Linked DNA regions of Elephas maximus indicus. The protein of the gene in region 1 interacts with the protein of each later gene in a pairwise test. Links are inferred from orthologs where the notes say so. Each region holds a gene or a part of one and is shown on either strand. Other genes may lie near its edges.

Region 1 (7,958 bases):
CTGCCTGCCCTTAGGGGCGAGGGGGCGGCAGGGCAGGAACCCAGTAGCAGCTCAGACAGGAAGCTTGAGGCTGGAATTCCCCTCCTGCCACTGCCCTAGCTCAGAAAGCCCCGTCGGCTCAGCCTCTCAGGCCCGCTCCCCTGGTCCCCCTCCACCGCCCGCCCCTCCCTCCCAGGCCCCTCCTCCTCCTGCTAGGATACAAACACACAGCACATGGTGGCCCCAAGGGCTCAGCTACTCCAGCCCAGACTCACCCCCCACCCCCAAGGAAGGAGACACTGTGCCATCCCAACTCCTGACCCAGGCACACGCAAAGCACAGGTTGTGACCAGCCGCCCTGGCACATGGGAATTGGCTTTGCTCAATCTCAGCCCATTTCCGAAATGGAAGACTGACTGGCAGGCAGCAGCAAGAGGGCTGCCAGCATGAATGCAGGGAGCGGGGCTAGAACCAGCCAGAAGGCTGACTTGCCTGGCTAGGCTGTGAGTGGGAGGGGCCAAGCGCTGTGGAGGGCAGAGGCTGACGTCATGGCCACCTCAGGCAGCCCACCTGTGAGTTCCTTCCTGCCTGGGGTCTCCCTGACCACACCAACAGGAACTCTTCCCTGTGAGAGATCCACCCAGCCCTGACTCACCCACTGCCTTGGAGAAAACTGGGAGAAAGTAGGGCCAGAGGGTGGGGCCTGGAGTGAAGGCAGAAGTCTGGGTTCCCTGAGGCCAGTGGCCTGGTCCTCTGCCCCCACCCCACCCCCTGTGACAGCCTGTGTCGGGGCACTGGGAGTACTGGGGCCCAGTCCTGGCTCTGGCTCTGGGTAGCCTGGCACAGCCCAGTCCTTCCTAGGCAGTTCCAGCAGAATCAGAAGGACTTGAGTCACAGCTCACCTGAAGTCAGAGCTTCAGGCCACCACCTGCACCTCCCAGTGACAGAGCCAGATCCAGCCTCAAGGTGACTCCTGGTCACAACCACAAAGGCCTCAGCAGCTGGGAGCCCGGGTCTGGGACAACACAGTCTCAGAAGTCCCAGCCCTGAATAATAATGTTTACTGAGCACTTACTACTCACCAGGCTTTGTGCATTCACTCCTCACAACTATCACCTGGGGAGTGGGGAGTACTGTTAGGCCCATTTTATAGATGAGGAAATAAGGCTCAGAGAGGTTAAGTGACTGGCTTATAGTTTACACAGCTCTTACACAAATAAGCTGGGATTCAAACCCAGGCATTTTAACACTGGAGTCCACAGTCTAATCCACTGCACTACACTGCCTCGTATCCAGAAGAGGAATTGAGACGGTGAAGAGTTGTGGCACTCAGGGAAAGATCCACAGCACAAGGTGACCGCTGGAGTCAGAAAGAACTGGGTTCGAATCCTTGCCACACCACTTACCAGCAGTGCAACCACAGGCAAGCCTTTGAGCCTATGTCCTCATCTGTAAACATTCCTCTCAAACCCACCTCAAGATGTCAGAAGATTAAGGGAGCCTGCTGGCACACAGTAGGGCCTCAATAAAGGGCTTTCCCTTCTTCTAGACCAGTCCGTGGGAAGAGGTCAGACTCCTAGAGCCAGGACATGGTCACCATGCCCAGCTGCTAGTCATGAGTCTTGGCCACAGAAGTGACACATACCTCATGGCTACATTGCTCCCATCAATGACCACAGGTCTCAGGTCACTGCTCTCCTTGTCCTCTTCAGGGGGTGAAGGCTCCAGAGTGACAGTCTTGCGGGTACCCCCGCCCCGGGGGACCAGGGGCAGCTGAGGGCAAGGGTCTGATGAGACCTGGTGCTCCCGTTCGGCAGCTGGACCATGTTTCACCAGCTCGCCCAGCACTGTGTTGGTGTCCGCCTGGACTCCCAGCTTCTGCAGGACACTGTGGATCTCAGTCGATGAGTAGCCCAGTTTCCGGAAGAAGTCCACCTTCATCTGTAGCTCCGCAGCCGATGCCTCCTCAGTGGCCGGCTCCTGGGCCAGCCCGGAGGTTCCCTGCCAGCTGTGGCTGTCCCCAGGCTCCCAAAAACTCATGGCCGGGCTGGCTGCCTTGACGGGCCTCTCTCCACAGGGGGCGCTCATAGTTCAGACTCCTGGCAGGCACCTGTCAGCTCCTGCAAGACAACCGTAAAGGTCAGGGGTGGGAAACCGTGCTCTCTCCCACCTCCTCTCCCCCTCCTGCCCCACCCAACACGATGAAGCAGCATCCACCTACGGCCCTGATTAGAGCCGCCTTCTGTATTACCTTATGCAGTGCTCTCAAAAGCTCTCCGGGAGAGGGGGTGTTCTTCCCATCATATAGAGAAGGAAACTGAGGCACAGGGCCATTAAGAACTTCCTCCCGTCTTCCAGCTGTTAACTGGTGGCGCAAGGGTTTGAACTCAGTCGGTCTGACTCCACCTCCTATCCTACGCCCACCCCCACGCCAACCCTGGGGACCTAAAGGCTAGGGGGGCCTCAGAGGACCTCGCCGCGCCCCGACAGCTGCGGGGCGGAGCCTTCACTGGAAACCTAGAGTTGGACGTGCGCTCGGAAGCCGGGGCTTCCCCTCTGCGGCCGTCGCCTCCGCCTATCCGCACAGCACTCAGGGCCCAGGCCCAGGCGGCGCAAGGCCAGTAGGGCCGCACTCCCGGGCCAGGGGCGGGCAAGTTTCCGAGGCGACCCACCGTTGAGAAAAGTTGCTGGGAAACTCTGGTTGGCCGCCGGCCGCCGCTGACGCGAAGGCTGTCCTGGCCCCGAGACCCGCGCGCGCTCGGCTCCCCCGCCCGTCCCTCGGCCCCGCTCCCCGGGTTCTCCTAACTTGAGCTAAGTTGGAGGGGCTCCTGAGGACGGATATGCCTCGGGGGGACGAGCCCTACGTCCCTCTCGCTGTAATCGGACCCAGCTGGAGCCCTCCCCACCCTCCTCCGACCAGACCCCAAGGCCCGCGCCCCTCCCCGCCGCGCGCTCTCACCCCGCCGTGCGCCAGCTGCGGCCCGCGGCGTCTCCATGGGGCCGAGTCCCGGGGGCGAGGCCGGCGGCGCCTTTATACCGGACTGTGGGCGGGCAGGTGGCGTTAAGGACAGTGACGCGGAAGCCGGGCAAAGGAGGCGAGAGCCGCTCGGGGGATCCGCGGGGAGGGAGGGGGCGGAGCGGCCACCGCCCCTTCCTGCTCCGCCCCCGCCCCGCCCCGGCTCCTGGCCCCGCCCCCGCGGCCCAAGGGCTCCCGGCCAGGCCCGGAATCCGGCCGGTGGGGGCGCGTCGGGCGCTGGCGGAGTCGGGGCTCCGGGACGCTGCCCCTTCCCGGTGCCTCCAGGCCCGGGAGACGAGGAGACTAGGAGAGGAGCCCGGCCGTAAGGGTGAGGTAAGCCATAGAGAGCCAGGTATACGCACGTAGTCATAAAAAAAAAAAATACATTGATACAAATACGGGTACAGCCACGTACATTCAGACCTAAGAACACTTAACAGGTACATCCTGACGGACAAAAGATACAGTCAGGTACACGTTGAGTGAATCAGGTACACAGAGGTAAGTCCATAGTTACTCCAGACAGACACTTTCCAGATGGAGACAGGAACACTCCACAGGTACACCCTGACTGGTGCAGGTATATTCAGGTACACCCTTACTGAAGCAGGTGTACAGAGGTGGGACCACACCCAGGGCCAGGTACACTTTTTGTGAAATCAGTGCTGAGATAGAAAGACAGGTACAACCAGCAGATGCACAATGACTGAGGAGAAAACCAGGCAAAGGTAGCTACACTTAGACCAACCACCAGGTGAGTGGTCACAGAATGCTGCCTTAACACTCATGGGCTCCCCCTTCCTCCCCCACCAGAGGCAGCACCCACTCCTTCACCAGGATGCTTTTAAGTTCCCAGGTCAATCAGTCATGGCCCCTCACATGCACAGCACTTCACAGTATCCACGTATGGGCTTAGGTGAGGGAGGCAGAGGTTATTATACACATTTAACCGAAGAGAAGACAAATCTAGAAACGGCTAAGTTGCCCCAGCTAGAAAGACTTAAAACTGGGAACGAGAGCTCCCATTCCTGTGCCACGTCTGTGACCACCAGTGACCTAGGACCAAGGGGAGACTCTTCTGGTGCGGGGGGGGGGGGCTGACACCTGCTCCAAAGAGACCTTCCGTGTGGGGGGTGAGGCAGGACAAAGAAAACACAGAACCCGCAAGCTAGAGGACAAAGCCTCTGCGGTGCTACCGGCTCACTTTGCAGATGGGGAAGCTGAGGCCCAGTAAGCCAAAACACTCAAAACTGAGTGCTTACTGTGTGCCCATACTTTACATACATTATCTCTGCCTTTATCATAGGCATGTGTCCTATAAGGTAGGTAAACTGTCTGTCATCAAGTTGATCCTGACTCATAGCGACCCTGTGGGATAGAATGGAACCGCCCCATAGAGTCTCCAAGGCTGGAAATCTTTACAGAAGCAAACTGCCACATCTTTCTCCCATGGAGCGGAGTGGAGGGAAAGTTGAACCACTAACTTCTTGGTTAGCAGCTGAGTGCTTAACCACTGTGCTACCAGGGCTCCTATAAGGTAGGTATTAGTGTTATATTCCAAATTTGTATACATGTATGTGACACCTTTGAGTTGTGGTGTTGATGAAGAATATTGAATATACCATGGAGTGCCAAAAGAACAAACAAATTTGTCTTGGAAGAAGTCCAACTAGAATGCTCCTTAGAAGCAAGGATGTCGAGACTTCGTCTTACATACTTCGGTCATGTTGTCAGGAGGGATCAGTCCCTGGACATCATGCTTGGTAAAGTAGAGCATCAGCGAAAAAGAGGAAGACCCTCAATGAGATGGATTGACACAGTGGCTACGACATCGGGCTCAAGCATAACAAGGGTTGTGAGGATGGCGCCGGACCAGGCAGTGTTTCCTTCTGTTGTGCATGGGGTCGCTATGAGTCAGAACTGACTCGATGGCACCTAAGAACAACAACACACGTACAGCTTGACGAATAACAGTAATCATAATAAAACGTCCATGTATCCGTTCAAAAAAAACCCTAAACCGTGAATCAACTCTGACTCAGGGTGACCCCAAGTGTGTCAGAGCAGAACTGTGCCCCACAGGGTTTTCAGTAGCTGATCATTCGGAAGTGTGTCTCCAGGCCTTTCTCCTGAGATGTCTCTGGGTGGACTTGAACTGTAAACTTTTCTGTTGGCAGTAAATATGTTCACTGTTGGCACCACCCAGGGACTTCATGTTTCCATCACATGACTTAAATTGGCCAGTAGCGTTACCTTTGAGGTCCTCTGGGCGCTCCCCTTCTACCTCTACTGTTACAACCTCTTCTCCCCACCCTGAAGGACACTTTCCTTAATTTTGTCTTAACTGTGCTAATAATTCCCTTGATTTTCTCTTAGTTTTACCACCTTTGTATGGATCTCTAGATGATATTTTAGTTGTGCTTTTTGTTTTTTCTAGTGTATATAGTTGGGATCATTCTATAGTTCTATGACTTCCTTTTTTCACACAGCATTATTTTTTTTGAATCCATCTCTGTTGCCTGTACCTTGAATTCATTTATTTAACTATTGAATAGTATTCCGTTTTGTGAATATACCACTAGTTAGTGATCTAGCTCCTGTTGTTGGATATTTGGGTTGTTTCTAGTTGGGTTTTTTGTGTTGTTGTTATTACAAAGAGTGTGCTTTGGATATTCAGTTCTTGTGTGTGTCTTTTAATGCAATTGTAGAGTTGAGAAAAGTGACTCTCAGAGATTCAGAAAGGTGAAGTGACTTGCCTAGAGTCACTGAGCTGGTGGAGTGGACTTCACGTAGCTCCCTCCAAGGCAGCCCGTCTCCTAGTCTATACTGCTGGTCTACACTGCTGGTTCTAGGAGGTCACAGAAGATCCCGGGCAGGAGTGAGTGCACGTTTGTAGCTGGGTCCTGATGCTGTTCCTCTGGGCTTGCCTGACTCGACCTAGCCTGCTTTGTTACTTGCTCATCGTTGAAGACCCCAAAGTGTCCCCTCTTCTGTGCCCCCACTCCTGCACAGCAACCCCAGGGGTGGCAGGCCAAGGAGAGAGGGAACATAAGTCCCCCGGCTGTGTGTCAGACCCTGTACACTAGGCACCCCACAAGTGTCACACCATGCCAGCTGAGCGCTATACATAACTGTATCTCTGGTCTTCACAACAGCCCCTCTTACAGAGGAGAGCTCAGTGACATCAGGCATTTATTCATTGTAGTAATAGTAACCACCTTTAGGATAGTAAAAAGATTAAGTGACTAAATGGCATGTCCAAGTTAACAATAATGATGATATATCAATCCCAGTAATAATATGTTAACTTGCAGACAGCAGGGCCAGGGCCAGGTGCCTTGCAGATGCTTCTGTCCCTTTGCACATGCCTCTCCCTCTGCCAGGAGTGCCCTTCGCTTCTCCCCTCCCTACTGCTGCCCAGCCGATTCCATTCTTCTTTTCGATGGTGTCACCTCCACCTTGAGGCCTGCCGAGACTCCTCGTGGTGAGTCGCTTCCTCCACCAGGTTCCCACAACACCCAGCTTCTGTCACTACATGCTGTGCCGTATTGTAATTGCCACCTGGGACCTCCTGTAGGGCCAGGTCTGGGCTGGGACTCCGCCCCTGCTCCCGGGGGCCCCCCCCCCGCGCTGCCCAGCGCTGTGCCAGCGGGAGCCGGAGGAACCGGCGATGAGTCACGCAGCTCCCTGCCCTCCCAGAGTTAGCCGCAGTCTCACTCTCTTCCGGCTCATGAGGCGGCCGGCTCCTTCCAGCAAAGCCGACTCCCTTCTGCAGAACTCAGTGCTGCCCTGGAGAACCCCTTCTCCACTTAAAGCTGGATTTTGCAAACCTTGGCCCCAGTCTCTGGGTGCCCTCTGGAGCTTAATGGTGCAGAGCCCACGCACCTCCTGTCTCCCTCCTTCCTTCCCGTCTCACCTGCTGGGCTTGCTGACTTCCGTCCTGGAGCCTGCCTACCCTCTTGCTACCTGCCCACACCTGCCCGGCCAGCTTGGGCGGGGTCTGCTGCACTCCAGGACCTGTAGCCCTGGAGGTGAGGGAGGGAGCTGGAGCGGGAAGGGCCGCAGGAACTACCTTTGCCTCCAGTTGCTCCACTGGGCAGCTCCGGCTGACAGTGGCAAGGACACAGGAGTCCAGCCACTTCAGTAGCGGGTGGGTGGGCTGCCCGGAGCCTTAGCAGAGTGGCAGTAGAGATAACAGTTAAATTGAACAAGGCCATGAGATCATTTAGTGCTCATGTACTACTTCCAGATGAATGCAGTTAGGTAAAGATGTTCTCCTGTGTTTATTTGTAAAACAAAGGGTGGGCTTTTGTGCAGTACAGAAGTCCTATTGCCCTTTAAAAAGAGGATTTTTTAGCATGACTACCAGTATAATCCCAGAAAAAAATTGTCTGTTTCGTATGTTAAAAAAAAAAAGAAAAATTCAACAAGGGATCTTGGAAGTGGAGAAAGGGCCAGGCTTCTCCATGTGTAGAGACTCTTGGTTTACTAAATAATTGTTAAAGCAGAGCTACGAAAATGGAGGTATGTTTTAAACGATAATTGAAAAAATTAACTTTTCATCACATACTCAAATACAGCGCAATACATTTGGGCTATTGACAAGACAACTGGAGGATTTACTTTAAAAATATGTTATTTCCTCGCAGAAATGGCTACTTCTAGGGCCAAGGCAGGAAAAGATAGGCTTGGAGCGTCTTGTGGTGCCAGAGGGGAAGAAAGTGCTCAAAAAACAAAAGGATGGGTCATGTCAAAGGGACACAGAAGTCAAGAGAGCGTCCAGTGGCCAGAGCTGGAATGCGTAGAGCAAGAGAATAGGTAATACAGTATTGGATTATAATTCAAAAGCATAAAACAAATGTCTGTAAGTCTGAAAAAAACCAAACCCATTGCCATCGAGTTGATGTTGACTGTCTTAGTCATCTAGTGCTGCTGTAACAGAAATACCGCAAGTGGATGGGTT
Region 2 (7,486 bases), on another chromosome or scaffold:
TACACACCTTCTTTCCATGTCACCCCAGAATCGGCATGACCATCATATACAATCACACTCACTCACAGCTTCATAAGCAGTGCATTGTGACACAGCCCTTGGTTGTCTCAGTTCAGCAGGACACTCACATGATATGAGTACAATATTATATATTCATATTGCGATGTGGTCACAACCATTGGGTAAAAACAGCACCAACTGTGAAAATGGCATAGCGGCATCAGACCTCTAACTTCATGTGGAGGGAGAACCATCATCATCAACAGCCCAAGGTTGATCCCTTCGAAGTAGAGGTCAAACACACCTCCACTCTCTGACCTTTTTACCAATTCTGATGCCAGCTCTCTACTTCTCTGCTGAGTTGGATAATTTGTTGCAATGGCCACATAGAACTCACAGACAATACTCACAATTATGGGGTTTATTAGGGAAGTAACAGATTACAGTCCAGGATCAGGAACAATTCAGGATATAGTTCTTCAATCAGGACAGCTTCTTTTCAGTTGTGCTTGCAGGTAGGTCTCTCTCTGACCCTCTGCCTCTTGGCCTGGCCTCTGCCCTGCTCAGGCAGGTGTTACAAAGCTCTTTAGCTCTGCCAATAAGTGCCTAGAGGCACCCCACTCCACCAAGAAGCCTCCTGCCCAAAGGCACTCAGCTTTCTCGCTCCATAGATTGGCAAGCCTAGCTCCGCTGACAAGTGCCCAGAGGCATCGCACTGCACCATGAAGCCTCCTGCCTGAAGACTCTCAGCTCTCTCACTCCATGAGCTGGCATCCCCACTGAAGCCACCCTGCTCCTTGGGCCGGGAAGTCTATAGTGCGGTCTCGTGCTCGCCTCCTGGTTCTGCTGTTGCTGTTTCTCTGTGGCTACTATTTCTCTGCTGCTTCTAGCTGTTCTGTGCCATCTCAGATGTTACAGCTCTCTCTCTGTCTCCTGGGTCTAGGAGGTTCTCAGCGCAAGGACCCTGGATCCAAAGGACACACTCCACTCCCAGCTCTTCTTTCTTGATGATAGTGAGGTCCCCTCTCTGCTCTGGGATTGGCTCTCTTTTAAGCCTAGTGAGATGGCAAAACTGACCAATCCCCTCATTTCGGTTCCATATGCCTTATTTGCATGGTCCCACCCCCACACAAGGGTTCCATGCACCTTATCTGCATTTTTAGCAGTGGACCACAAGTACCTTATTTGCATAGTCCCACCCAATCATTTTGTAGGAATCACAAGACTATGGTGAGAAAGGCCATATAAAAACAATTCTGTTTCTCACAGTGTTGTAGGAATTCTCACGTCCCAAGAAGAGAAAGCAAAATACATACTCATATACATGCAATCATATACAATCACTCACTTTCATAGCTGGACACAGAGTCAATAAATGCTTACACTACCCCAGTGTCCAAGTCTTGTATTATTTTATCCCACAGTGTGTAGCCCTAGAGTTTGTTGATTCTATAGCAAAACAACATTGGCTAAGCATCTGTTTGTGTGTTATATACACAGTATCTTCCAGTCGCAAGTATAGTTATTCACAATTTTTTCTTGGTGTCAAAGGCTTTCACATACATATAACATCTCGGTTATTATTTATCCAGTCTGTAGGGAGCTCTTAGCATATGTGGTGGCATAGTGGTTAAGAGCTACTGCTGCTAACCTAAAGGTCAGCAGTTCATATCCATCAGGTGCTCCTTGGAAACCCCATTGGGCAGCTCTACTCTGGGTCACTGTGAGTCAAAATTGACCTGACAGCTATAAGTTTTTTTTTTTTAAAGCATGTGTAAGAGACACTGTATGGCACAACGGTTAAGCACTTGGCTGCTAATCAAAAGGTTGGCAGTTCAAGTTTGCCCAGAGGCACCACAGAAGAAAAGCCTGACAATTGACTTTTGAAACATCAGCCCCAGAAAACCAGTTCTACTCTGACACACATGGGTCACCGTAAGTCAGAACCGACTTGACAGCAACTGCTTTGATTTTTGGTAAAGATCAAGGGAAGGGGGAACTGAAAGCAAAAGAGGAGATGGACATCACTGGTCAGCAGTCATGATGCAGAGGCTCCAAGCTCTATCCCAGGGCTTAGAACAAAGCTTGGCTCATAGTAAGCACATGTGTTGAATGAATTAATTTTTCATACTATATATAGTTACTTCTACTCAGCATATTCCACATGCATAGCGTGATACCCATAGTGCCATGCCCATCCAGTCCCAATGACATATATGTTTCATACAAAGTCACAGAATCTCCTCTGATACATCATATAAAATGTCAGTTCACCGGGTCACACAGTGTTTCACAGTTCTTGATTCACAGTGCCAACTCACAAGGTCAACACACGTGGGGCCACAGCATCCCCATATTCTCTACATTTTATGGTCACAGTGTCTGTGTCATTGCATGGTTCCACTGTGTCTGTGTCACTGTGACAGAGCTGGGGTCCCCTGTAGCATGACACAGTGCCTTGTGAGGTCATACTCTGCCTCAGAGTATTCCATCACACTTCTCCACAGTGTGTCAACTTCACCGTGTGATGCTGGATCTGGGGTGCCACTACCTGTGTGATGGGAGTGTGGGGCCCCACACAATGTGACACAGTGCCTGTGGGCTCATACTCGGTCTCAGTTTCCCCACCACCACACAGGGACCGGGGTCCTACACAGGGTCTGGAATCACACCAGACCTCAGAGTCACTCCCTATCCCACACCACAGTTTCTCAGTCTCACCGTGTGACACTGGGTCTGACGTCCCACGCAGAACGACAGTGAGTCTGGAGTCACACGCTGCCTCAGTCATTCCCACTCTGCACCGCAGTGTCTCGGTCTCGCACTGTGAGTCTCTCCCACTCAGGCTTCTCTGTCGCCCCGCCCCACTGTCCTCACCTGGTCAGGTCCCGCAGCCGCGCCTCCTCCCCGCGCAGGTAGCGCCGCAGCAGGGCCAGCAGCCGGCGCTCGGGCGCCAGGGCGCGCGCCACGCTAGTCAGCGCGGAGAACGTGTCCCCCTGCGCCGCGGGCCCCGCCGGACCCCTGGGCCCCAGCGCCAGCAGCGCCAGCAGCGCGGCCAGCCGAGCCACGGGACCCATGGCCGGCGCTCGCTCGCGTCCTCTCAGACGGTGCCGCCCGCCCTGCGCCCGGCGCTCGGAGCTCCAGCCCTGCTCCTCCCCTGGGCTTCGCCCCGCCCCTTCGCCTTGCCTGTCAGGCCTGCTTAGCCCCCCACCGCCGACTCCTTACTTGCTCTGACCGCTCCTCGGGTTCCTGCCTCTCAGCTGCTCAGACTGCGTGAGCGGACTGCCTGCAACCTCAGTGGCGCTCCCTTCACTAAATCACAGCCCCAGGAAGGTGTTTCCTCTGTGCCCATTTCACGTATGTGGAAACTGAGACACGGGGTGGTGTGAGCGCTGAATTCACTGGCCTAAGGCTGTACAAAGGAGCCCACTGGGCTGCTAAACGAAAGATTGAAGGTGGAACCCACCAGCCCCTCGACCAGAGAAGGATGCGGTAGAAAATCCTATGGGGCGGATCTACTCTGTCATATAGGGTCGCTGTGAGTCGTAATCAACTCCACGGCACACAAAAACAAGGCTGTACAAGGCCACCCCAACAATATTCACCCCCTGGTTCAGGGGTGGAACTATAGAAACATTACTGAATTCTGATTGGTAAATCCAGGAGAGCAAATAATGCGGTATAATAATAGAGGTACCATAGCGACGTGTGTGTGTGTGTGTGTATGTGTGTGTGTGTGTGTGTAAAGAGCTGTGGGAGAGCCCCAAACCCAAAAAACCATTGCCTTCCAGTCGATTCCGACTCACAGTGCGGGAGAGCAGAGGGGAGGAAAACATTTCACAGAGGACGTGACATCTGAGCGATCCTGAATGATGAGTAGAAATTTGACCAGGAGGTTAGGCGTGATGAAGGGCATTAGGACCAGTGCATAACGTTTCTAGGACTTAGAGGACCTAAAACTCTGGGATCCCAAGTCTCTGCTCTACACAATATATTACACAGTTACTTAAGCAAGCAAACAAAATTATTATTTACATCCTACTAGGTTACTTATTTTTTCCCAGGCATTTGTTCATTCATTCAACAAATGTTTACTGGTACCTACAGTACTGCGTGGCATTTCCCAGGCATTTGTTCATTCATTCAACAAATGTTTACTGGTACCTACAGTACTGCGTGGCATAGTGGTTAAGAGCTAAGGTTGCTAACCAAAAGGTTGGCAGTTCGAATCCACCAGTGGTTCCTTGGAAACCCCACGGGGGCAGTTCTACCCTGTCCTGTAGGGTCACTATGAGTCGGAATGTACTCAACAGCAGTGATTTTTTTTTAAGGTACCAGGCTGAGGACACAGAGAAACAGCAGACCCAGCGCTAACCCCGGTCCTAATGAGCTCACAAGAGGAGACAGATATGTAAACAAATAACCACAATAAAATGTGATTAGGGTAACCAAGGGTGGGGCCATCATGTGCAATGGCAGCACTGAGCAGGAAGCCTGTGCACATGCGTCGGTGGTGGAGAGGGCTTCACAGAGGAAGCAACGTGCACTGGCCCAAGGGATGAAAAAGGATTATCTCCACTGTGGCAGGCAAGGGAGGGATGGGCAGAAGGTGCCTATGGGTACCAAGGTTCAGGGGTGGAAAGTAGTTTGAGTTTTGGAAGTGATGAAAAGTTTCTTTGGTTGGAGCTGTCATATTGTGAAGGGGCTTTGCATGTCGTACTAAGAAAATTATCCCGTCATCTATGAAAATCCAATGGAAGCACAAACAACAGAAGATCAGCTTGATAATTGGGGCCTCCTAAAAATTTAGTGCTTATGTTCATCAAAAGACTTTACCAAAAGGGTAAGAAGAGAACCTACAGACTGGGGAAAAAAGATTTTGACAACAACACATCTGACAAGGGTCTAATCTCTAAAATGTATAGGAAATGCCAACACCTCAACAACAAAAAGACAAACAATCGAATCAATAAGTGGGCAAAGGACATGAACAGACACATCACCCCAGAAGACATTCAGGAGGCTAACAAACATATGGAGAGATGCTCCTAATTATGAGCCATTGTGTTGTTGTTGTTAAGTGCCATCAAGTTGATTTCGACTCATAGTGATCCTATGTACAACAGCCCTTCGCCATCCTCATAATCGTTGCTATGTTTGAGCCCATTGTTGCAGCCACTGTGTCAATCCATTTTGTTGAGGGTCTTCCTCTCTTTGGCTGACCCTCTAATTTACCAAGCATGTCCTTTTCCAGGGACTAGTCCTTGCTGATAACATGTCCAAAGTACATGAGATGAAGTCTTGTCATCTTCCCGTCTAAGGAGCATTCTGGCTGTACTCCTTCCAAGACAGATAGATTTGTTTGTTCTTCTGGCAATCCATGGTATATTAAATATTCTTTTCCAACATCATAATTCAAAGGTGTCAATTCTTTGTTCTTCCTTATCCATTGTACAGTTTTTGCATGCATAGAAAGCAACTGAAAATACCATGGCTTGGGTCAGGTACACCGTAGTCCTAAAAGTAACATCTTAGTTTTTTAACACTTCAGAGAGGTCTTTTGCAGTAGATTTGCCCAATGCAATATGTCATTTGATTTCTTGACTGCTGCTTGATTGTGGATCCAAGTAAAATGAAATCCTTGACAACTAAAACACTTTCTCCATTTATCATGATGTTGCTTATTGGTCCAGTTGTGAGGATTTTTGTTTTCTTTATGTTGAGATGTAATTTATACTGAAGGCTGTAGTCTTTGATCTTCATTAGTAAGTGCTTCAAGTCCCCTTTGCTTTTAGCAAGCAAGGTTATATCATCTATATATCATAGGTTGTTAGTGAGTCTTCCTCCAATCCTGATGCCAAGTTCTTCTTCATATAGTCCAGCTTCTCATTAGCCATTAAAAAAAATGAGAGATGCAAATCAAAACTACAGTGAGATACCATCTCACCCCTGTAAAAACAGCACTGATCAAAAAAAAAAAAAAACAGAAAACAACAAATGCTGGCAAGGTTGTGGGGGACACTGGAACTCTTACACACTGCTGGAGGAATATAAAATGGTACAACCACTATGAAAAGCAGTATGGCACTTTCCTCAAAAAGCTATAAATAGAAATACCATATGATCCAGCAATCCCACTCCTAGGTATACATCCTGGAGAAATAAGAGCAGTGACACAGATAGACATACACACACCCATGCTCATTGCAGCATCATTCACAACAGCAAAAAATGGAAGCAAGCAAAGTATCCACCAATGGATGAATGGATCAAGAAAATGTTGTGCACACATACAATGGAATAGTACACAACAACAGAATAATGATGAGTCTGTGAAACATTTTATAACATGGATGAATCTGGAGGACATCATGCTGAGTGAAATAAGTCAATCACAAAAGGACAAATACTAGATGATGCCACTTTTATAAAAAGTCAAGAATAGGTTTACACACAGAAAGCAACGTTGATCATTACCAGAGAGGGGAGGGAAAACCACTTACTAGATAGTAGACACTTGTTAATTCTGGTGAAGGGAAAGGCAATACACAATATGGGGGAAGTCAACACATCATGACCAAGGTAAATGAAGACACTGAGAGGTATGAAAGGATAAATGACAACTACGATAAATCCTATTAACATATACAGTTCTGCAACAACAGTAATAACAACCAAAAATTTGTAAGTGGTTACGTAGGTAGATATATATACTATATAGGTTTGGGAGAGTGTATGGGAGTACATGTGTGTGCGCATACAGGTATAGTTGTGGGCATTTGCATATACATATTTGTATGTGCTACATATATATTCATATATATAATAGAGCACATAGGGGGCATACCCAGTCCAAACTCAGTGCCGTCGAGTCAATTCCGACTCATAATGACCCTATAGGACAGAGTAGAACCACCCCCATAGAGTTTCTAAGGAGCACCTGGCGGATTTGAACTGCCAACCCTTTGGTTCGTAGCCGTAGCACCTAACCACTACACCACCAGGGTTTCCAATAGGGGGCATAGTTATGGAAATTTCCTAGACATCCAAACACCTTGTGGGTCTTAGTTTCTCGGTTTGAAGGCTCAGGACCATCGTCTCGGGGGACATCTAGGTCAACTGGCCTAATATAAAGATACTGTTCTACATTCTAGTTTGGGGAGTAGTGTCTGAGTCCTAAAAGCTTGCAAGCAGCCATCTATGATATAACTACTGGTCTCCTCCCATCTGGAGCAAAGGAGGGGGAAGGAAACTAAAGACTCAAGGAAGCAATTAGTCCACAGGACTAATGGCCCACACGGACCACAGCCTTCTCTAGCCTGGGAGCAGAACTAGATAGTGCCTGGTTACCACTACCGGCTACTCTGCAGGAACACAATAGAAGGTCCCAATTAGAATGGGATAAAAATGTAGAACAAAATTCAAATTTATAAAAAAGACCAGATTTACTGGACTGATCAAGACTGGAGGAACCCCCAAGACTATT
Region 3 (6,204 bases), on another chromosome or scaffold:
AGATTGAAGTTGTCAAGGATTTCATTTTACTTGGATCCACAATCAACAGCCATGGAAGCAGCAGTCAAGAATTCAAAAGACCCATTGCATTAGGCAAATCTGCTGCAAAGGACCTCTTCAAAGTGTTGAAGAGCAAAGATGTCACCCTGACGACTAAGGTGCGCTTGACCCAAGCCATGGTATTTTCAATCACATCATATCCATGTGAAAGCTGGACAATGAATAAGGAAAACCGAAGAAGAGTTGACGCCTTTGAATTGTGGCGTTGGTGAAGAATATTGAATATACCATGGACTGCCAAAAGAACAAACAAATCTGTCTTTGAAGAAGTGCGGCCCGAATGCTCCTTGGAGGCAAGGATGGCAAGACTACATCTTACATGCTTTGGACATGTTGTCAGGAGGGATCAGTCCCTGGAGAAGGACCTCATGCTTGGCAGAGTACAGGGTCAGCAGAAAAGAGGAAGACCCTCAACGAGGTGGATTGACACAGTGGCTGCAACAATGAGCTCAAGCGTAACGATTGTAAGGATGGCGCAGAACGGGGCAGTGTTTCGTTCTGTTGTGCATAGGGTTGCTATGAGTCGGAACCGACTTGACGGCACCTAACAACAACATTTTATTCTCTTAGATGGTATTGTAAATGGAATTGTTTCCTTAATTTCCCTATTAGATCTCTCATTGTTGGTGTATATAATTCAACAGATTTTTGTTTGTTGACCTTGTAAGTAAGTAATTTCTTTTATAAGGATCAGCACAAAGCTGGTTCTTATGAGGCGGAGGTTAAAGATGTCCCAAATGTCCAACTTTTCCAGACTGCTCCACCACTCCATTGTCCCTAACATCAACTACTCCCTGCTCCTCAGTACTCTCATTCCTGTCTTTGGGTTCAGTAATTCACTGCAATGTCTCACAGAACTCACAGACTGTACTTATAGTTAAGTGGTTTATTAGGGAAGTAACAGGGCACAACTTGGGATCAGGATAAACTTGGAAGCAACAGGAACAACTCAGGACACAGTTCCTGGATCAGAACAGCATCTTCTCGTCCTCTGTCGCCAGCTCTCCTGAGGCCTTGCTGCCACCAAGCTATGCTGGGGGCCTTCTTGGGCAAGTGTTATAACTCTTAGCTCTGTTATAACTCCTAGCCCCACTGCGGCTGTGTTGCACTGTTCTCTGGTTCCTGCTGTCTCATGCCACTCTCTCTTGCTGTCTTCCATGTTACAGCTCCACTCTCTCTCTCTCTCTCTGTCTCCCCTTAAGCCTAGTAAAACCCAGAAAAAAAAAAAATTTTTTTTTTTTTGCAAAGCTGTCCAATCCCCTCATTAGGGTTCCATACACTTTATTTGCATGGTCCCACCCCTACAAGGGTGCCATGCAGCCTATTTTCATTATTAGCAAGCAATCCAATCCCCTTGGTGGGCCACAAGCACCTCATTTGCATAGTTCCAGCCAGTCATTTGGTAGGACTTATAAAGACTATGGCTAGAAAGGCCATATTAAGTAATTCATTGCACTGCATCTTGTATCTTGCAACTTTGCTAAATTCTTTTATTAGCTCTAGAAATTTTCTCATGGACTCTTTGAGTTTTGGCTTCTTTAAAAAATAGGATTTTTTGTGTCATTGAGTGGTAAGAGTTTGTTATAAATTCTGTATACATCTCCTTTGTCAGACTGTATTGTAAATATTTTTCCCAGTGGTAGCAAATATTTTCTGCCTTAGATAAATGAAAACATGTTCACACGAAAACCTATACATAAATGTTTATAGCAGCTCTATTCATAGTTGCCATAAACTGCAAACAATCCAATGTCCTTCAATGGGTGAATGAATAAACAAACTGTGGTACACCCATGCAATGGAATGCTACTCAGCAACGAAAATGGCTGTCTTACTGATACTCATAACAACTTAGATGAACCTCAAAGGCATCATGCTGAGCGAAAGAAGTCAGTCTCAAAAGGTTGCATACTGTGTGATTCCATTTATATGACATTCTCAAAAATACTAAACTATAGTGACTTTTTTGATGGATCAGTGGTTGTTAGGGCTTTGAGCCAGTTGGGAAGGGTTCAGGAATTGTTCAGTAACTGCCTACATAAATGAAGGCAGTGTAAGCACTGCATAGCAACCAAATCTGTTGCCTGGCAGATTTTGACCTGAATGGGAAACAGGGCAGTGCTCCACTCAAAGATGGCAGCTGACTGCCTACTTTGAATATCTGTTCCTCTCCACAGTCCTGCCAATAATCCAATCTTCTGTATGGATCCCTAAAGTTTCAGGAGCCTGATGCAGTAGACCGGATTGTTGGCAGGACTCTGGAGAGTGATACACATTCAAAGCAGTGTTGATTGCCATCTTTGAGCAAACCACAGCTGTTTGTTTCTGGTTGTTGTTGTTGTGTGCCGTAGAGTCAATTCCGACACACAGCAACCCTCTAGGACAGAGTAGAACTGCCACATAGGGTATCCAAGGAGCAGCTGGTGGATTTGAACTGCCAACCTTTTGGTTAGCGGCCTGGGCTCTTAGTTTCTACTCAGGTCAAAATCCGCTGGCTAACAGATTTGGTTGCTATGCAACTCCTATGCTGCTCTCCTTTGTGTCTGTTCCAAACTGGCTAGAAACCCTGATTTAGGGGTGGGTGTGGGTGTGACATGGAAACCCTGGTGGCCTACTGGTTAAGTGCTACGGCTGCTAACCAAAGGGTCGGCAGTTCAAATCTGCCAGGAGCTCCTTGGAAACTCTATGGGGCAGTTCTACTCTGTCCTAAAGGGTCGCTATGAGTCGGAATTGACTCAACGGCACTGGGTTTGGTTGGTGAGTGTGACTACAAAGGGGTCTAGAGTTTGAGGTGATGAAAATGTCCTGTATCCTTATTATGGAGGTAGTTAAATTAATCTATATTTTTTTATGTTAAAATTCATAAACTGTATACTGAAAAGAAAGGAGCCCTGGTGGCGCAGTGGTTAAGCACTTAGCTGCTAACTGAAAGGTCAGTGGTTCAAACCCATCAGCTGTTCCTTGGGAGAAAGATGTGGCAATCTGCTTCTGTAAAGGTTACAGCCTTGGAAACCCTGTGGGGCAGTTTTCCTCTGTCCATAGAGTTGCTATGAGTTGGAATCGACTTGACAGCACACAACATACCAAAAAGAAGTTAATTTTGCTATATGTTAACTAAGCTGTTATTGTTAGCTGCTGTTGAGTTGACTCCTGACTCACAGCAACCCCATGCACAATGTAACAAAACACTAGCTGGTCCTGAGACATCCCTATGATCTATTGCAGATGGGACTATTGTGATCTATAGGGTTTTCATTAGCTGATTTTCAGAAGTAGATTGCCAGGCCTTTCTTCCTAGTCCATCTTAGTCTGGAAGCTCCGCTGTAATCTGTTCAGCATCATAGCAACATTCTCAGATGGGCGGTGGCTGTGAATGAGGTACATTGGCTGGGAATGGGATCCAGGCAACGCTCATGGAAAGTAAAAATCCTACCACTGAACCACTGATCCCCCACATTAAGAAAACACCATACATTTAAAAAAAGCAAATCGACAAACCTCTATGAGTGTGTAGGTGCTTATGAATATTGGCTTTTGAGTGGAGAAAGGTATGACCGGAAACGCACAAAACTTTAATGATCACTACCTCAGTGGGGAGCAAAAATAATCAACTTTTTCAGTGTACACTTTTGTATTTTTTCACTTATTTCATGTAGTAACTTTGAAATTTGAAAAACAAAATCTACTAAAATGAAAACCATTAGGACAAACATTTAAAAAGAAGAAAAAGAGTATTTCTGCTTTAGTGAGTACTTGGTGATATGTAGAGAACAAGAAATACATCTCCATTCTTGTGGAGTGCAGCTGGGCAGGGTCATCTGCAAAAAGTGGCTAATAACAGTACAGTCTGTTATCTAGTGCTGCAGATAACGGAAATACCACAAGTAGGTGGCTTTAACACTTTTAATTTTGTATAGTTTAGGAGGCTAGAAGTGCAAATTCAGGATGCCAGTTCTAGGGGAAGGCTTTCTTTCTCTACGGGCTCTGGGGGGAGGTCCTTGTTTCTTCTCAGCTTTTGTTTCCTGGTTCCTTGGTGATCTTCATGTGGTGTGGAATCTATCTTCTCTCATTTCTGCTTAATCCGCTCTTTTATATCTCAAAAGAAATTAATTCCAGACATACTCTACACTAAGACTGCCTCCTCAACAGAACGAAGACAACCCATTCCTAAATGGGATTATAACCACAGGTTAGGGTGAGGATTCACAACACATATTTTGGGGGGACACAGTTCAATCCATAACAAATACCTAATAGGGTTTTTATAAAGATAAATACCTCAATACGTGTTTGAAATAGTGCCTAGCATAAAGGATCTGCTGAATAAATGTAAACAGCTATTAACAAACCATCCATGAAATGAAAGAATAATTGCCATCACAGTGTTGTGATTTCAAAGGGCCTGACATGTAACAGGGCCTCAATAAATGTTAGTTTCTTTAGTGTTAAAAGTTTGGGTACTGGGATGCGGGCCTGCCTTGGTTCTTGTATTTTCTGGGTCTGCTCACTTATCTCTTTTTCTTGGCCTCATTATCTTTCCAACTTCAGGGAAGCCTCTCCCTGCTTCCCCTCCCCAGGGTGACCTATCATTCTCTCTCAGGACCTAGACTTAGGGTGTTTCCCTCCTACGCTGACACTTGATTCCTTGCCTACATCTAGGTTGGCACAGAGAGACATACATACCCTGAAGAGTGAGGGTGAAACACACAGCACCGTTCACCAGATGGTGAGCCCTACCTGGGAGAAATAGCATCTCAGAACAGAGCAGGCTTTGAAAAGTGTTAGAGGGGAGGTGGCCCTGAAGGTCACCAAGGATTGGTGGTGTTGGAGGGGGGCGGTGGATATCCAAGGACAAGGGAAAATGTTACTTAAATTCTACCTCTTTCTCTTACCAGGTAGATGGCCCTTCTTCAGGCCAATAAGGATCTCATTTCCACAGGAATGAAGGAATTTAGTATTCTGCTGAATCAGCAGGTAAGTTTGGCACTCCATTTCAAAGGACGGGCCTGGAAAGTAGGAGGTGAGGGATAATAATATGGAGTTGGAAGAGTAATGGTGGAATTGATGGAAACAACTCAAGACAGGGAATACAAAGCGGAGGAAAGAGGATGTGACTTTCTGGGGACTATTTCCTATCCTATATTCCTCGATCACATTGTTGACCACATTCCTCCCTCCCACCCCCAGGACATGCGTGATAATCCTATCCCTGAAGAAGCCATGGTAATTGTGGTGAATGACTGGATGAGCTTCTACATCAACTATTACAGGCAGAAGATGACTGGGGAGCAGCAAGAGCAGGATAGGGCTCTGCAGGAACTTCAACAAGGGCTGAACACTCTGGCCAACCCTTTCCTGACCAAATATAGAGACTTCCTGAAGACCCTGTGAGCATCCAAATGGCCCACTGTTTTCCTCCTAGCCCAGCGATCTAGGCCTTCACCTCTAAGAAACCCCCAAATCCTGGCTTTATGTTCTCCATGTCCTCAGGCTGTGCTCCTTCATGGTGCTACTCTACCATCACACCTCAATAAAGACAAATGTGTTCTTCTTTGAGTGTCTGTCCCTGACTTGTGGAGGCAGCTGGGCCTTTATTTTTAGCCCTGCATCCTAGATCTGATCTTGGAGACTTAATTCCTTAGAGCAAAGGTCAGCAGCCTTAAGTAACCACGGGCTAGTACTTAAACAGTCTGGTAGACCGGGTCTACAGAGAAAGTGCTGGGGGGAGTTGGGGGAGGCGAGGCAATGGCTGGAAGCGTTGGTTAAGAAAAGGAGGGTGGTGTTTTGGAGGTTTACAGGCATTGTGGTCCTGTGATGTGCTTGTCCAGCAGAAAGCTGGACGTTTCCCAGTCTTGCGGGTGGAATCATGAGTTCACCTTCCTCGATTTTCCAGTCCCTGTCCTGGTGAAGTAGTGGTTAACAGCTGCAGCTGCTAACCAAAAGGCTGTCAGTTCGAATCCACTAGGTGCTCCTTGAAAACCCTATAGGCAGTTCTACTCTGTCCTTTAAGGTCACTATGAGTTGGAATCGACTCCACGGCAATGGGTTTTTTGTCCTTAGCTCCAGCTTGAGCAAACTTCTAGAATCTTCTGACTCTAAAAACTACTGCAGAATACCTCCCAGGTACCCCAGAGTATTGCAGTA

Evidence for each region.
Region 2: the proteins of ZC3H12A (region 1) and P4HA3 interact in binary tests that used the Homo sapiens proteins (3 or more experiments, as listed by UniProt). The two-hybrid records come from large-scale screens. The link is inferred for Elephas maximus indicus from reciprocal best matches to the Homo sapiens genes ZC3H12A and P4HA3.
Region 3: the proteins of ZC3H12A (region 1) and AHSP interact in binary tests that used the Homo sapiens proteins (3 or more experiments, as listed by UniProt). The two-hybrid records come from large-scale screens. The link is inferred for Elephas maximus indicus from reciprocal best matches to the Homo sapiens genes ZC3H12A and AHSP.

The regions. Positions count from the first base shown.
Region 1 is NC_064821.1:79,048,697-79,056,654, reverse strand, and holds the start of ZC3H12A (endoribonuclease ZC3H12A), read right to left. Parts: upstream 3,077-7,958; 5' UTR 2,939-3,076; intron 2,864-2,938; exon of another isoform or gene 2,345-2,863; 5' UTR 2,231-2,344; intron 2,100-2,230; 5' UTR 2,068-2,099; coding exon 1,625-2,067; intron 1-1,624. UniProt on the Homo sapiens protein: Endoribonuclease involved in various biological functions such as cellular inflammatory response and immune homeostasis, glial differentiation of neuroprogenitor cells, cell death of cardiomyocytes, adipogenesis and angiogenesis.
Region 2 is NC_064825.1:48,206,762-48,214,247, reverse strand, and holds the start of P4HA3 (prolyl 4-hydroxylase subunit alpha-3), read right to left. Parts: upstream 3,078-7,486; coding exon 2,878-3,077; intron 1-2,877. UniProt on the Homo sapiens protein: Catalyzes the post-translational formation of 4-hydroxyproline in -Xaa-Pro-Gly- sequences in collagens and other proteins.
Region 3 is NC_064830.1:90,860,433-90,866,636, forward strand, and holds AHSP (alpha-hemoglobin-stabilizing protein), read left to right. Parts: upstream 1-4,708; 5' UTR 4,709-4,786; intron 4,787-4,955; 5' UTR 4,956-4,959; coding exon 4,960-5,034; intron 5,035-5,247; coding exon 5,248-5,451; 3' UTR 5,452-5,616; downstream 5,617-6,204. UniProt on the Homo sapiens protein: Acts as a chaperone to prevent the harmful aggregation of alpha-hemoglobin during normal erythroid cell development. Specifically protects free alpha-hemoglobin from precipitation.